Callithrix jacchus: one gene and its partner. The main gene of each other region encodes a partner of the protein of the gene in region 2 in a complex. Links are inferred from orthologs where the notes say so. Each region holds a gene or a part of one and is shown on either strand. Other genes may lie near its edges.

Region 1 (4,553 bases), on a different chromosome or scaffold from region 2:
GTAGTATAAGATATGCAATTAAATAATCAAGGAAGGACTTTTATTTACGACATCATTGAGGACTAGCTCCCTTAAATAATCCTCCAATTCCAATTCCAAGACAACTAAAAATGCTGGGATTAAAAATATATCCAATGAATTATAACCTCAAAGCAAAGGTTTCTTAGGACACAAAAAGCACTAGCTGTAAAAGAATAAAAAGGGATAAGCTGGACCTCATAAAAACTTAAAACTTCTGCTCATTTAAAGAGGGTTAAGAAAATAAATAGGCAAGCCACAGTCAGGGAAAAAAAATCTTTTTTTTTTTTTTTTTTTGGTAAAATGACAACCAGCGATAGGAAAAAATACTCTTAAAAGATATATCTGACTGTGAATATTTTTAATCCATTGATGAGATGGTGAGAAAGTAAAGGCAAACTTCACACTGGTAAAAGTTATGCAAAACCAGAAATCCAGACAGTGAAAACTGAAGTCCCAATGAAACGTGACACTATGGTGCCCTTAATACTGTTATGACGGTCACTGAAAGCATAGGAAATGAGGGACAAAATGTAAAAGGTCTGATAGGAGATTCCCTGCATAAATTTGGGAACTGCAAAGAGCTGCCCTTTTTTGTAAAAGTGAACAAGAAAAGAAAAAATTCAACTCTATAGAAGGGGAATTTGTCTTAGTAGGCAGGAGAGAAAACTCTCTCCTGAGAATTTCTAACCATAAGCTAACCCTTACGTGGATTTGCAGCTCAAATTCATACTATCTGTCTGCTCCAAAAAACATGAAGCCAAGAATTTATTTAAAGTAATTCCAGCTTGATAGTGCTTCAAGGAAAAGAAATGCAAATGCTGAGAATACAGCACTCACTCAAGGTCTCAAAGAATTCCTACAGTTCAAGTTCTAAAAAACTCAAATTTATAGACAAAATCACAAAACAGAAAAAAGGCACCATGAGAGAGCAGAAACAAAAGACAGCAGCATCAGAAGACAAAATCCATGGATATCAGAATTATGAGACATAGACTATAATAACCATAATTAATATTTTAAATATATAAAGAATGAACAATTTAAAATATGATTAAGGAACTGAAAATTATTTAAAAATTGAGGAGATTTGAAAAGTAAATAGAATTCAAAGTAATAGCAATAATAAAAAATAATATTTAAAATAAACTGAAGACAGAATTAGTGACATGGAAGAGGGACCTGAAGAAATTACCCAGAAGGTGGCATAAAGAGAAAAGCGATTGAAATATGAAAAGAGGGTGAGAGAAATGGAGGACAAAAGAGACACCTCTCTTCTTGTAACTAATTAGAGGTCCAGAATGTGAGGACTGGGAACATGGGGGAAAGGCAATATTAAATGAGATGATAGCTGATAATTTTCCAAGGCTGATTAAAAAAAAAAAAAATTCACTCTCAGTTTCAGAAAGTGCAACAAATCCCAAACGGAATTTTTAAAAAATCACATTTTTATATACTGTAGTGACTGAAGGACACCAAAGACAAAGATGATGTCTTAAAATAATTCAGAAAGCCCATGTTCCCTAAATCGTGCGTGACTAATTTTCTCCAATGTAAAGCTACCTTGACTGCAGTTGAAGACTGCAGTATAAGATGCCGACCACTAAACAATACCTGCTTCTTATGTTTTTTGTTTGTTTGTTTTTTCATTTCCTTTTATATATCCTAAAAGTAGGTCAGACAGGGTAGCTCATGCCTGTAATCCCAGCCCTTTGGGAGGCTGAGGTGGGTGGATCGCTTGAGCTCAGGAGTTCAAGACCAGCCTGGGAAACACAGAGAAATCCCATCTCTACTAAAAAAAAAAGAAAAAAGTGTAATAAAAAAAATAAAAAAAAAAAACCAACCACAAATGTTCTTATTACCAGAACTGCACAGAAATGGGACGAAAGGAAATGGTGGTTTAGAACAACAACAACAGAATCACTGGATTTGTTTAGTTAGCAAACAGACTGAGCAGAGGGAGGGGAAGGGATGCCCACTTGCAGTTGGTACAGGTGTAGAAGACAGTTTGCCCTTCGTCTGCTGAACGCATCTGTCTGGTGTGGTAAGCCATTCCTTCATGACCACATCGAGAGCAGCGCCTGTCAACCTGGGAAGAAACCGGTGGGTTAGGGAGGCCAGTTCATATCCCCTCACTTCCCACAGGAATCAGGCGATCACTCCTCTCAAACATGGATGCTTTACATCTCTTTTCCCTCTTGGACTTGGGCACACAACTCTCCAGATCTCTGCAATCATTCCTCCGTTTCTTTCCTACCCACCTTATGGAGCCAGTCATTGAGCTCATTAACTTACCACAGGTCCCTGGAACTCAGGCCCTTCCTCCACCGACACAGGCATGGCTGTCCCCAGCTGGTGGAACACAACTGAAGTCTTCACAACCTTCCCCTCAAAGTCTGCACAGGCAAGTAAGAACTGGTTATGGAGACAACCAGAGGGAGCTGACACCGGAAACCTCCCCTTTCCCCTGACTGGTTAGGCCAGGAAGCCCTATATCCTTTCCTTCATTTTTCATCTCGAGACCAAATGTACAATTGCCTGATCTCCTGCTCTAGGGTCCCCTGCCGATCTTGAGGTCCCCAAGTTTCCGACCCTGGACCCTCCGCCAGGACCACTGCGTACAAGCCTCTCACCCCGAACGTTGATGTTGAAGCCACAGCGAGTACAGGTAACCGTATCCTGAGCCCCTGGCAGAGGCAGGACCGAGCCGCACTCTGAACAGAAATCCAAGTCCGACTGAAAGCTGGAGCAAGTGCTGGCTAGGTCCATGACGCATATGCGGTCAGGCCTGAAGAGGGAGTTAGAAGTTATATTAACAAAAAGAGAGGAATCCCCCCAACACAGAGGTCATAACAGTTCTGTCCCAGTACCTGGGAGTATATAACCCGAGCTCTCCTCCCACGCACGCCTCCTGCCTCTGTGACCAGGGAGCTGAAACGCCCGGAATGGCTTACCAGCTAGCGTCGGGTAGTAAAGGACTTGCAACCCTTTCCTGGGGCCGGCGAGAGGAGCGAGCCAACTCCATGGGCTAGAGCGGCAGCTCTACGCCCGCCGCTCAGCGGCGAGCTAGAGCCGGCTAGAGCGTCACGCATTCGGGCTGACAATTGGTTGTGACGTCATAAATAATTGCGAACCTTGTCTCGGGAGCCTTAGAGATGGAGCCTAACCTCTCCGAAGGGAGTTTGCGGCTTCACTTTCACCCTAGTGCTGAGACGTTGAGCACAAAATTCGTAGCCAATGCTGCGCTTCCAGCAAATTTTCCCACCAGTACCCAATCCTCGGATATTTATTCTTTGTCTCACATCCTACAGGAACCGAGTCCCGGGAGATATCCCCCTGAAAACTGTATTTTGCTGAATACTGATTTCTTTGGATTAGAGAACTACAACTATCCCTGATCCTGAGCAGGTTTTTCCCTTTTGCGGCTGCAGAGTAGTTAAAAAGAAAGCTAAGTGTTCTGGGACGTACAGTTTTAGTGTTCCTTGGGTCCCGCTGGAGAACGTGGGCTTTCAGCAGAGCGCAACTAGCCTTGTGTGCTTTGGGAACAGTTCGCCGCTTGTAAGGGGTAAGTCGGATTCTTGAGGGACCGCAAGTGGTGAGGGTGAAGTCAGGAGGTACAGGGTCCAGCCCTACAGGGTTCTGTGAGCCCCTCTCTGTTGGTGTGGAGAAAAGAAACCAGAAATAAAAGACATAAGACACAGAGATAGAAAGTTTGGGTGGGGTGGCGTGGGGTGGGGGGGGTTCACTGCCAGCCAGATCGCGGAGTCCGGCAGTGGCCCCGGTCGTGTCTGCGCATTCTGACTTTTTTTGAGTACAAAGCTGAGGGCAGGGTAAGTAGGTGTGGCATTGGTGGTTGGTGGTCAGCAACCAGGGGAAAGGTAGATGGGGCGTAGCAGTGATAGGGTCAAGTACATCACATATCATACAGGTACGGACCCAGGAATTTCTAGGAGCCGGGATGAGGCAAGGAGCCTAATGCGTTAGCACTTTTCCATACTTGTTAAGAAAGAACAAAGACATTAAGTTTATATTACTCTTACTGATTATCTCTTCTAAGAAAATAGGAACCTGGTACAGAAGTAGGACATGAGAGTGGACATGGAATGTGACCACTGAAGCACAGCATCACATAGAGACAAATAAGCCCCCGGATGCCTGTGGGTCTACCTGACAGCTGTCAGGCCTAAGGCAAGAGATTGGAGGAGTGGAGTTTTCGCTTAACTCCCCCGGTGAATGAGACGTCTCAGCCAGCTTTGGACGCCTCCTTCCCTAGCTGGCTCAACAGCGGGCATTTTCTCAGTGCTGACGCGGTAGCACAGCAGAGGCGGCCCTAGTCGCCCTTATGCAGGCATAGCTGCTGTAAAGCGTCTTGCTTTAGGGTCATTGCCCTCACAATGTCACCCCAGGTTCTCACTTTCCGGCCTGAGACCTGAGAGGCATTAGTAAAAGAATTAAGATCACCTATAAATAACTAAGATCACTTGTGAATAATTAAGCCATCACTATTTTCTCTTGTGAAGGACAGAAGCTGTAGT
Region 2 (3,995 bases):
GCTTCCTATATAGTGGGCGAGACATATATCTTTGCACTTATTGATTTTTTTTTTTTTTTTTGAGACAGGTTCTTGTTCTTTTACCCAGGCTGGAGTGCAGTGGTACGATCTTGGGTCACTGCAACCTCCGCCTTCTGGGTTCAAACAATTCTCGTGCCTCAGCCTCCTGAGTAGCTGGTATTACAGGCATGGGCCACCATGCCCAGCTAATTTTTCTATTCTTAGTAGAGATGGGGTTTCACCATGTTGGCTAGGCTGGTCTCAAACTCCTGGCCTCAAGTGATCCACCCATTTCCATCCCCCAAAGTACCAAGATTACAGGTGTGAGCCACCATGGTCGGCCCCTCTTTGTTTCTGGTAAGTGATGCTCTAACTAACTGATTTATTCTTCCTGTACAGTTTTGATGGTGACGACTTTGATGACGTGGAAGAGGATGAAGGGCTAGATGACTTGGAGAATGCCGAAGAGGTCAGTATTCAGCCTCAGGCTCCCACCTCTGCAGCCCAAGCTGCCAAACAGTCTGGCAGGTGACAGTAACCTGAATGTATCTGCCTTCTGTTTGTGTTCAGGGCCCCCTACCCGCTGGCGTAAGCATTCCCAGTTAGAGTGAGCTGTGTTCCAGTCTTGCACAGCAGAACAGCCCTGTGGGCTAGGCCTGAAAGCTTTTGTCCATGTGGTCCGCAGCCAGTGGCTTCTGGGGCAGTTAGTTCACTGACAAGTTAAACAGCACCTTCCTGCCTCATAAGGTTATTGTAAGGGACATGAGGTATTAGGAAGCAGTCACCTGGTCCCCTGGCATGCAGTGAGCATTAATGGTGGCAGGAGCGGTGATTATGATTGTTGTCATTATCACCCTCCCTGTAACCCAAAAATGCCACCTGAGATTTTCTCTCTTTTTTATCTTGTCCAGGAAGGCCAAGAGAATGTTGAGATCCTTCCCTCTGGGGAGCGACCACAGGCCAACCAGAAGCGAATCACTACACCATACATGACCAAGTACGAGCGAGCCCGCGTGCTGGGCACCCGAGCTCTCCAGATTGCGTGAGTGATGGCCCCTTCACTGTCCTCTGCATCTCTCAGACCATAGTGAGCTCCTGAGCCACTGATCTTGCCCAGCCCAGCACCTGAACGTAGACTCTCCACTCTCACATTCCAAAGGTGGTGCTGTCCCTGTGTACCAGGCATTGTGCTAGGCCCCTGCCCTCAGGGAGCTTGTGATCTAATAGGAGAACTAGGACTTGAACATCTGAGAAGTCAGGTAACAGTATGGGAGAAAAATGATACAAAAATCAGAACTGGATGGTTGCCCAGCAGATTAGTGAAGCAGAAAAAGCGTGAAGTCAGAGTCAATGTGTACCCGTGTTTTTTTTTTGTTTGTTTTTTGAGATAGAATGTTGCTGAGTCGCCCAGGCTGGAGTGCAGCGGCACAATCTCAGCTTACTGCAACCTCTGCCTCCCAGGTTCAAGTGATTCTCATGCCTCAGCCTCCCAGGTAGCTGAGATTGCAGGCATATGCCACCAAGCCTAATTGTTGCATTTTTAGTAGAGATGGGGTCTCGGCATGTTGCCTTGGCTCGTCTTGAACTCCCAGCTTCAAGTGATCTGCCTGCCTCTGCCTCCCAAAGCTCCGGGATTACGGGTGAGAGCCACGGGGCCTGGCCATGGTGGTTCTTTTTGCTTTATTTTCCTAGTCGAGGCCTCACTCTGTTGCTCATACTGGAGCACAGTGGCCTGATCATAGCCCATTGCAGCCTCAAACTCCTGGGCTCAAGCGACTTTCTTGACTCAGCCTCCCAAGTGGCTTCAAGCTGGGACTGCAGATGTGTGTCACTATGCCTGGCTTTGTATTTTTTTGTAGAGATGGGGGTCTTACTGTGTTGCCCAGGCTGGTCTTGAACTCAGCCTCAAGTGATTCTCCTGCCTCAGCCTCCCAAAGTGCTGGAACTGAGATTACAAGCATGAGCAACCACTCCTGGCTTTAAGGTGGTTTTTTTTTTGAGATGGAGTTTCGCTGTTGTTACCCAGACTGGAGTGCAATGGCACGATCTCGGCTTACCACAACCTCCGCCTTCTGGGTTCAAGCAATTCTCCTGCCTCAGCCTCCCGAGTAGCTGGGATTACAGGCGCGTACCACCATGCCCAGCTAATTTTTGTATTTTTAGTAGAGATGGGATTTCACCTTGTTGACCAGGATGGTCTCTTCTCTTGACCTCATGATCCACCCGCCTTGGCCTCCCGAAGTGCTGGGATTATAGGCATGAGCCACCGCCCCCAGCTAAGGTGGTTCTTGATGTGAGGTAGACTGTGGCCAGCCCAGCAGACTGGGGGCCCTCCAGCTTGAGAGCACACTGGAGAGATGAAAGCACAGAGTAGTGGTGGGGTTTTGGGGATTTGAAAATCAGTAAACTTTCTCTCTCATGGCTGGGAGAATAAAGATTCAGGAGATAGAGTAGACAGGTGGAGATCCAAGTGTCCAGTGAGTGCAGATGAGTTAGCCATAGGCAGTGCAGGCCTTCAGATGACTACTGAGGTTTGGGGCAGAGTAGAGAATACACTGGAAGCACCCTCTCCCAGCAGATGGCTTTGAGAATGCAGGGACTTTCAAAGAGGTGGGGCCACAGATGCCTGCTTTTCCCCCCAACCCAGGCTCACCTGTCGGAATAGTTACTCCTGCTTTCTTGTGAAGAGTAGGTGAGAGGACAGAGAGGGGTACTCTAATGGTACTCTGTGGGGAAGCATGAGACTGAGGACAGGAGCCCCTCCCCCAGACTCCTTATAGGCTGTTGTGGGAAATGGTGGGTATCTGGAGGAGGAGGCGTAGTTCAAGTAGGGAAGAGTGGAAATTAGTCTAGAAAGAAAAGCAGCTGGGTGTGGTGGCTCACACCTGTAATCCCAGCACTTGGGGAGACCGAGGCAGGAGGATTGCTTGAGTCCAGAAATTCAAGACCAGCCTGAGCAACATGGTGAAACCCCATCTCTGCCAAAATACAAAAATTAGCTGAGTGTGGTGGTGTGCTCCTGTAGTCCTGGCTACTTGGGAGGCTGAGGTGGGAGGATCACCTAAGCCCAGGAGGTTGAGGCTGCAGTGAGCTGTGATTGCACCACTGCCCTCCAGCCTGAGCGACAGAGTGAGACTCCATTTCAAAAAAAAAAAAGGAAAGCTGGGGCCAGATATGTGGACTCTGTGCTTGCAGGGCAGCAGTGCTCTCTGTACCTCCCTCCTCAGTGTGCAAGCAGCACTGGGCTGTTGTCTCCTCTAGTCCTGTGGGGGTAAAGATGACCATCATGTCTACCTCAATAAAGGTGGGCAACATTGTTCTCATTCATTCCCCTTCTCTGCTCTTCTGAGTGGCATTAGAGCCACACCCAGTAGGATATCTTTTGGTGCCACCAAGGTCAAGATCCTCTGGGCCTGCACCATCAATTATATTAGCCACAAATTGTATGTGGCCATTTGCATTAAGTACAATTAAATAAAATAAGACATTCAATTTCTGTCTCACTAGCCACCCACACTTCTTTTTCTTTTATTATTTATTCATTTTATTTATTTATTTATTTTTGAGATGGAGTCTTACCCTGTTGCCCAGGCTGGAGTGCAGTGGCGTGATCTTGGCTCACTGTATCCTCCACCTCTCGGATTCAAATGATTCTCCCAACTGAGCCTCCTGAGTAGCTGGGATTACAGGTGCCTGCCACCACACCTGGCTAATTTTGTATTTTTAGTAGAGATGGGGTTTCACCATGTTGATTGGACTTTGGGAGGCTGAGGCGAGTGGATCACCTGAGGTCAGGAGTTTGAGACTGTCTTGGCCCATGGCAAAACCCCGTCTCTACTAAAAGTACAAAAATTAGCCAGGCATAGTGGCAGGCGCCTATAATCCCAGCTACTCAACTCAAGAGGCTGAGGCAGGAGAATTGCTTGAACCTGGGAGGCGGAAGTTGTAGTGAGCTGAGGTCTCGCCACTACTCTAGCCTGGGTAAGAGAGCAGAC

The links.
Region 1: POLR2F (region 2) and POLR1H share a complex: the UniProt entries of both Homo sapiens proteins name them as parts of the pol I pre-initiation complex. The link is inferred for Callithrix jacchus from reciprocal best matches to the Homo sapiens genes POLR2F and POLR1H.

The regions. Positions count from the first base shown.
Region 1 is NC_133505.1:34,798,452-34,803,004, reverse strand, and holds the start of POLR1H (DNA-directed RNA polymerase I subunit RPA12), read right to left. Parts: upstream 3,087-4,553; 5' UTR 3,044-3,086; coding exon 2,973-3,043; exon of another isoform or gene 2,807-2,972; coding exon 2,652-2,806; exon of another isoform or gene 2,574-2,651; intron 2,415-2,573; coding exon 2,314-2,414; intron 2,108-2,313; coding exon 1,998-2,107; intron 1-1,997. UniProt on the Homo sapiens protein: Core component of RNA polymerase I (Pol I), a DNA-dependent RNA polymerase which synthesizes ribosomal RNA precursors using the four ribonucleoside triphosphates as substrates. Can mediate Pol I proofreading of the nascent RNA transcript.
Region 2 is NC_133502.1:208,959,030-208,963,024, forward strand, and holds part of POLR2F (DNA-directed RNA polymerases I, II, and III subunit RPABC2), read left to right. Parts: intron 1-399; coding exon 400-469; intron 470-911; coding exon 912-1,042; intron 1,043-3,995. UniProt on the Homo sapiens protein: DNA-dependent RNA polymerase catalyzes the transcription of DNA into RNA using the four ribonucleoside triphosphates as substrates.